Linked DNA regions of Ovis aries. The protein of the gene in region 1 purifies or fractionates together with the protein of each later gene. This does not show direct contact. Links are inferred from orthologs where the notes say so. Each region holds a gene or a part of one and is shown in the gene's direction. Other genes may lie near its edges.

Region 1 (4,438 bases):
GGGCGAGGGGCTGGTAGCAGCTCCTCTAGCCAGGGGAGCCACATCCAGGCACACGGCACGCCCTCAGGTGTCCCCACGTGCAGCTGCCCAGCTGCCCGAGTGGTAACACAGAAGAGCAGCAGCTAGGGCAGGGCCCGCAGGCACAGGACACCTGCCCTTTTTAAAGGCTCGGGACAGGGAGCTTGACGCTCTAGGCCGAATCCTGAGCAGAGCCCAGAAGATGACAAGGCTCGTTCGTGTCCGGCACATCCTCCCCGTCTCCCAGGAAGGGCTGAGGGAGGAGCCGAGGCTCCACTCACCAGCTGATGTGCTGAATGCCTCCCTCGCGCTCCTGCCTGAGCTGCACGTATCTCTGGATGGCCTTCTTCAGGTCCAGGACCGTGGCGTTCTGGACTACAACCACAGCTGCACAAGCAGAAGATCCCCAGCGTCAGGTGGCAAGAGGAGAGCCCAGAAGCTCTGTAACTTCCCAAAGCTCAAGTCTGGGCAGGTGTGGGTGTGCCCAACAGGCCTGGGCACAGCCCGGAGTTCCCACCCACCAGCTCTGCTAACATCCTCTCCTGTGAAGGTTCAGACTGCTCTGCCAGAGCGGGAGGGCAGCACTTACGCATAACTTCTCCATCCATCTTGCACACTCGCACTGTCATTGCTTGGCCGTATTCTAATGCTATTTGGGAATTAACTTCTTCTAAAGTAACCTGGAAAAGACCAAGGATGGAGGTGGGAGCTCTCTTCACCACCCAAAACAACAAAGGCAGACAAGCTGACAGCGTTTATAAAGTTAGGCAGAACCTTCCTGAAGTCTGAGGAGAACGGAAAATGGGAAACATCGATCTTTTACTTTTTACTTGAAAATTACATTATTTCTGCTTACCCCAGGCTTCTGCACACCAATTTCTGGTTGTTTTTAAAACACTGCTGACATGTCAAATGTCCTGACCAGTCGGTTTTTCGGCGCCCCTTTAAATTTCGCACCCGAGGCCAAAGCCTCGCTCGCCTCCAGGCCCGGCAGGAGCCTTCTGCCTAGACGCTCCGCTACGCTCGGAAACGCCTTCCCCAGGCCGAGGCCGCAGCCCCCAGCGGTCCTAGGGTCCGTCCGCGCCCCGACCCCCGCCCGGGGGAACGACGCGGCCCCCGCGCACCTGGATCGGAAGGTCGCAGAGCAGCGGGTCTTGCACAACCATGGCCAGGCCCTCCTGGAACACGTCCACCGCCTCGGAGTGCGGCAGCGCCTCCTCCTCGTCCTCCTCGTCGTCCTGCGGCTCCGGCCGCGCCGCCACCCGCGGCTCCTCCAGGGCGCCGGGCTTCCCGCCGGCCCCGCCCGCACAGCTGGTCCGCGCGACAGAGGTGGTCGCGCACGCGCCGGGAAGGCTACTATATCCCCACCGTCGGGCGTCGGGGGCGGGGCCACTCGAGGACCAATGAGAGATGAGCTACTGGGAGCCGGCCCGCCACTGCTCTCCCTGGGGGCGGGGAGGCGGCGTGATTATTGGTGGGCTGGCAGGGGGCGGGGCGGGGACCACGGGGCGCTGGGAACGCCGGCGCCGTGCTGCCGCGGGCGCTGCCGGGAGCGCCGAGCCTGTGGCGGCCATGCTGCTCTTCTGCCCGGGCTGCGGGAACGGGCTGATCGTCGAGGAGGGCCCGCGCTGCCACCGCTTCGCGTGCAACACCTGCCCCTACGTGCACAACGTCACGCGCAAGGTGGGCGCGCGCGGCGCGGAGGCCGACGCTCTCGCGAGGCGCCCGCGCGACCCGGGCCTTCCCCGCCTCCTTCCCCGCCTGGACCGGCGTCCTTTGGGCCCTGCCGGCCGCCCCGTGGCGCTCCGCCCGCCGCGCGCTGCTCCGGGGGCCTGTGTAGGGCTTTTGCGCCCGGGTCGCTCTTCCCCTCTGTACCCGTGTCACTCGTCGCTCGTGCTTTTACCCGGAGGATTATTTAAAATTGCAGCCTCTTTCTCCACCTCGCCCTTCTCCTAATCTTATTTTTTTAATAGGACTCGTTTGCCTTCCATTGCGGTTTATAATTTACTTGTGCGCCTGGTTTGTTAACACTAGGGTATACATTTTTCAGTTTTCGTCCCCTCTTATGTTCTAGTCTGAACATCTGGGATATATTGGGTATTCAGTACGGAGTGATACATACTGTGTTATAACTCAGTTGTAACTCAGATGTTACTTTCCGTCGATAATGCCTCTTTCCTTTTTAGAACACCTTTAATAATTTTTAGAAGTAGAGCACGCTGGTGTTGCTGCTGCTAAGTCACTTCAGTCGTGTCCGACTCTGTGCGACCCCATAGACGGCAGCCCACCAGGCTCCCCCGTCCCTGGGGTTCTCCAGGCAAGAACACTGGAGTGGGTTGCCATTTCCTTCTCCAATGCAGGAAAGTGAAAAGTGAAAGGGAAGTCGCTCAGTCGTGTCCGACTCTTCCCGACCCCATGGGCCGCAGCCTCCCAGGCTCCTCTGTCCTTGGGATTTTCCAGGCAAGAGCACTGGAGTGGGTGCCATCGCCTTCTCCGGTGTTACCTCATTAGTTTATATGCTGCTCCACCATGTAGCAGTGCTGTGGGAGTTTAGAGTCTGAAATTATGAAGGGTGACATTTCAAGGACGGCTGGTAAAACCTGGAAAATAGTTAGAAAAAGCTCTGTCTGGGCAGAGTGGCTGGGCCACCCTGCCAAGTGCTCCACTTTGGCCTTAGTCGTCTTTGGATGTCTTATTTCAGTGACCAAGTATTGTAGAGGTGGGAGAACAAGAGGGTCACACCAGCGCCGTTTTTCCTTTCCTGCTCAGTTGCTTCATCCAGTCCTCACAGAATCTTTTTATGGGGACATCCCAATTGTGGATCCTCCTGATTCTCATGGAGATTCCTGCTCGGTGACAGCAGGAATTGTGCTTTCCTTTAGTATTCCTCCCTTCATGTTGAAGGCAGGAAGCAGAGTCTGGGCTGATACTTGAAGGCATGGTTTGGTGACCTGGCTTTGTACTGGTCGCTTCCTGGGAGAGTCTGAAGACCTGCTGTTTGTTGTTTGTTAGGTAACAAATCGGAAGTATCCAAAGCTGAAAGAAGTGGATGATGTGCTTGGTGGAGCAGCTGCCTGGGAGAATGTTGACTCTACTGCAGGTGAGAGAGAAAACCTTTCCTGTTTCAGAGCTTTGGGTAAGGGTGCAGCCAGGAGCTGTAGGTAAGGATGAGGCCGCTGGCTGTGCCACTGCAGAGCAGAGTCTGTGATGTATCAAGTGGGCTTCTGAGACTAGAAACTGTTTTCTTCTCTAATGTATTTGTTGCGCAGACAGTATTGGCACAAGCTTTGGAGTGATTCAGACCTGAGTTAGTCTCAGGGTGATCTCATATTGATGCTGATGGGATTAATTAAAAAATCAGTGTAAGGATTCTGTTCTAATATAGTTTTCTTTTAAAGTCAAAGGTAAAGAGTATTAAACTGCCCTAAATATTCTGTGAAGTAAGTATTTGAGTCTTGATTCATCTCTGATAGTGACAGATGTGACCCAGGAAGGAAAGAGAGCCCTCGACACGACCAGGCCAGAGAGGAGGAGGAGCTCAGGGCGATTAGTACTGTCTTTTTACCCCAGAGGGGGCCGTCCAGATTTGCTCTGTTAAAAATCTCTCATGGGCAGAATTTGTCACTGGGAGGTGAATTACACACCAAATAGTGTCTGAGTGTTTGAAGGAGTTTTCATCAAGAGCAAGGTTCTTGAATTGAAATCTCGGTGAAAGTAAAATTAAAAAAGAAAAAAGTACAATCAAGATCACAGGTCTCCTTCCCTCAGTTGTGAGAGCACCGTGGGAATGACACTCCTTTGCAGGAAAACCTTGCAGGGCACCTCAGGCGACGGATACTAGTTGAGCTGGGGAGTGTCTGCTGCTGTGTTTCATGAAATGTCCACTTTTAACAAGCATGTTGATCATGAGGATCGTTTGTTTTTTTTAGTAACCGTGGGTCACTGTTTGTTCTTGTTGCCAGAGCCGTGTCCCAAGTGTGAACATCCTCGAGCCTATTTCATGCAGCTGCAGACCCGCTCTGCAGATGAGCCCATGACCACCTTCTACAAGTGCTGCAGCGCGCAGTGTGGACACCGCTGGCGGGACTAAGGGCGGGGTGGCCCAGCTGCGTCAGCGTCTGCGTGCTTTACTGTCCAGGGTGCATTCCCAGCTGCGAGTGGGAACTGCGTGTCCTGAGGGTCTTGGCTGGCGTGGTGGAAAGCTGACCCTTTAAGGGTGGCTGCCCGGGGAGTCAGGAAGTCCAGCCCGCCTCCCAGTCAGCAGATTAACTCCTTGATGCTCAGAATGTCCAGATTCTGCCCATGCTGTGTGTGGACGGGAGTATCCGTCCCTGAGTGCACCCTGCTGAGGTCCTGCTCTTCCTCTTTCATGTTTATTGGGCAGTTGATGTTCTACCATCAGCCAACACTCTAATATTTA
Region 2 (3,237 bases), on another chromosome or scaffold:
GTGGATGAAGTCTCACTCCAGCTCATTAGCCCCATCTGGTGGCTGAATGGTTGCAACTGTGCTGTGCTGTGCTCAGCCGCTGAGTCGTGGCTGACTCTTTGCGACCCCATGGCTGCTTCCCAAGGAAGGTTGCCACTTGGAAACCCTGGTGGAGACATTGAGGGCACACTCTCACATTTCCTGTGAATGTAGCAGGGCTGGATGAATGACTGCTCTTGAATTATTCATATCTTGAAAGAAATAAGGCATATGCATGTCAGGGAAAGCAGTTTGCCACATTCTTAAATGTTGGGGGAAGTTTAAATAATTATTGAGAGAAGATATAGAGAAAGTTAAATACTTGGTTTCTGCCCCTGGGGAATTTTCAGGCTTTGGGGAGTAACAGACATCAGAATATTTAGCAATAAAATTAGTAGATCATTTAGTGTAAACTGGTGGCTCTCAGACTGGCTGGTTATCTGAATCACCAGGGGAGCTTTGCTAATATAGGTTCTCAGGCTCCTTCACTAGAGAATCTGTTCAGCGGGTCTGGGGAAGGACCTGGGAACCTGTATTTTTAGCACGCTCTCCTATCAGGTTTGGGGTCCATTAGTGTAAACTTGAGTTGGAATCAATAAGGGTGACTTCCTAGAGGAGATGGGCCTGGAACTGGTTTGTCTGCTTTTAGACCCTCTGCTGTGGGCCAGGTGTTGCACTAGAATAGAACTTGGGGTCCTGGACCACCAGGTCTTGTTTGGAAAACTTCAAACGGGAAGTCACAGTTTAGTGACAGTGGTGTTGAGAGAAGTGTGTGTGAGATGAGTCAGGGCCCTGAGGCTTCAGCGCGTGCTTTCCAGGGTGGAGACCTCTGAGCCTCTCTCAGGCCTGTAAGAAGAGGAAGCAGTCGTGTGAGGATGCAGAAGGGAAACAACAGGGCCTGCATAAGAAGCTATAGTGGTTTGATGTGGCTGGAATGTAGGGTGAATAGAGGCAGGTAGCATGAGAAAGTACTGCAGAGGTGAGTGGGGGCCAGAGGAGGTCCTGCCTGCCTGTTGGCCATGGGGTATCAAGGAAGAGAGGTAAGCAGGGGAGAGCCTGACCACAGGCCTTGTGTAGGGGCTAGAGGAGCAGGACCCCTGCAGGGGGTGTTGCCAAGACAGAGAAGGAAGACGAGGCGAGCTAGGCCCTGAGGCAGGGCTGGGGGTTGAGTAGAGTGATCAGAGGGTGAGCTCTTGCACATGTGGGTCCTTTGTGTGGGAATATTCTGCTGTGGCCGTGGGCTCAGGAGTCTGTGACAGGCCCTGGGGAAGGTCCTTGGCCAGGGTAGTGGACGTGATGAGTGTCACACGACCCAGTAATGACAGCTCACACTTGTCCCTTTCACAGTACCTGGCTTCAGTTTGTGGATCACCAGTTTTTTAATGGGAGGTGTTACAGAATAGTAGAGAGGAGTCTTCAGGGTTCAAATCTTGGTTCTACCACTCACTGGCTGTGTGACCTTGAGGAAATTACTGACCTCCCTGTGCCTCAGTTTCCTCCTCAGTAAAACGGAAGTAGCAGTAGTGCTTACTACAAATGAGACATCCACGTGGTGGGTGGAGAGCAGCTATGGCGCCTAGTGAGGCTTTGCTTGTAGCCAGCAGCGTTTTAGCATTATTGTTGTGTAGGCGTGGCAGGGCTTTTTGTCTTCATTTTCAAATGAGGATGCTGAGATTTGGAGAGACATTCAGGGTCTTTCAGGCCCAGTTTAAGCCTAGTCTACTGGCTGCCACTCAAGTACCCTCACTGTCGGCAGCCCTGGACCGCTGCTCCGCACCTGCCGCTTTTGGGAGGTGCCCTTTCTTGGGGCCCTTTCTAGGTGAGCTCTGGGGCGCTGATCCGATCCTGTTTGTGAAACTGCCCAGCTTCATGCTGGGCCTTCTCCCTGTGTGTGTGATCTCCCCACACCTGTCCTTACACCTGCAGGATGTGCGCCCCTGTGATGGTGGAGCTGGAGGGGGAGACAGATCCTTTACTGATCGCCATGAAGGAGCTCAAGTAAGTCACCCAGATCCTGGTTTGTGGCTCCAGAGCCCTGGGGGCATCCCTTGGGTGCTCTGCTGCGCGCCTTCCCGCACTTCCCTGCTGGGGACGTGTGGTCTTGTTCCTGTAGACCCTTAGTTTGGGAGTCAGCCCTTCACCGGGGAGGAGGGGACGGGCCAAGGGGGAGGGGAGGACATTGACGAGACATGGACCGTCCCTGTCTGTCCCATCGTCCCTTTTTCCTGCTGCAGTTGGCCTTACCAACATCCCTCTGCTTTCTGCCTCGCCCTTCGCTGTGGGATGGCAGGCCCTTTGTAGATTTTGGTCCCACACTCAGAGAAGCAGGGACTTTTCTTTTTTTTTTGCTGAAATTCCTCACCTACGAAGTACATCCGTGGTCTCAAGAGGATGCTCCTAAGGCTTCTCCTCCCTTGCCTTCTGCGCCTGCTGTCCCTCTGCTGCAAAGCCAGGGTCAGCACCCATGTACCTCGATTTCCCCCGGTCACAGGGCCCGGAAGATCCCCATCATCATTCGCCGCTACCTGCCCGACGGGAGCTACGAAGACTGGGGCGTCGACGAGCTCATCATCACCGACTGAGCTGGAGTCAGCCTCTGGACTGGGCCTCCGCCCGTGGCTCATCTCATAGTCTTTTTATAGTCTTTATACGTGTAAATAGTAAATTCTTCAACCTTTCAACCCCTTCTGCCTCCCGCTGCCTGTGAGGCCCACCTGCGTCTTCACTGTTACCATCCTGCTGCCTGGAGGCTGTGCGCATCCCAGTGGCCCTGGGACCATCAGCTCTTTAAGAAGCACCAGAGCCCTGACCCCCTGGGCTCCCCTGCGTGCCCCCCTCCATCTCACAGTCCACCAGAGCAGAGGCTGCTGCAGGAGACACCTCGGCTGCCTTCCTAGCAGACAGACGCGCCTTTGTGCCCAGGAAGCTGGTTGCCACGGAAACCCCCAATTTCCTTTCCAGTGTGGACTGGCTGCAGGGGCTTCTCCCTTCTCAGGAGTATCACAGAGCAGGTCTCATCAAGCCACCCATTGTTCTCCTGAGGACCTGCCTCGAGCCTCTTATCGTGGGCTGGGATCCCCTTTCAGGAGCCAGTGCCCCCAGCAGGAAGCTTGGGGACGCAGTGATCTGCCCTCCCCGAGAGAGCCCCGCTGGCCAAGTCAGCAGCTGGAGCAAGGGCTGAACACCTGCCCATCCCAGCCACACTGCCCCTCCCATTCC

Evidence for each region. The genes of interacting proteins can lie anywhere in the genome.
Region 2: the proteins of POLR3K (region 1) and POLR2F purify together in Homo sapiens (affinity purification with mass spectrometry; 5 studies listed by BioGRID and IntAct, with this or other methods). This does not show direct contact. The link is inferred for Ovis aries from reciprocal best matches to the Homo sapiens genes POLR3K and POLR2F.

Annotation. Positions count from the first base shown.
Region 1 is NC_056077.1:658,944-663,381, reverse strand, and holds the start of POLR3K (DNA-directed RNA polymerase III subunit RPC10), read left to right. Parts: upstream 1-1,590; coding exon 1,591-1,701; intron 1,702-3,030; coding exon 3,031-3,118; intron 3,119-3,980; coding exon 3,981-4,108; 3' UTR 4,109-4,438. Other genes in the region: SNRNP25 (U11/U12 small nuclear ribonucleoprotein 25 kDa protein), read right to left, coding at 300-405, 608-698, 1,143-1,433, 1,515-1,592. UniProt on the Homo sapiens protein: Core component of RNA polymerase III (Pol III) which synthesizes small non-coding RNAs using the four ribonucleoside triphosphates as substrates. Can mediate Pol I proofreading of the nascent RNA transcript.
Region 2 is NC_056056.1:215,583,098-215,586,334, forward strand, and holds the end of POLR2F (DNA-directed RNA polymerases I, II, and III subunit RPABC2), read left to right. Parts: intron 1-1,944; coding exon 1,945-2,016; intron 2,017-2,509; coding exon 2,510-2,600; 3' UTR 2,601-2,699; downstream 2,700-3,237. UniProt on the Homo sapiens protein: DNA-dependent RNA polymerase catalyzes the transcription of DNA into RNA using the four ribonucleoside triphosphates as substrates.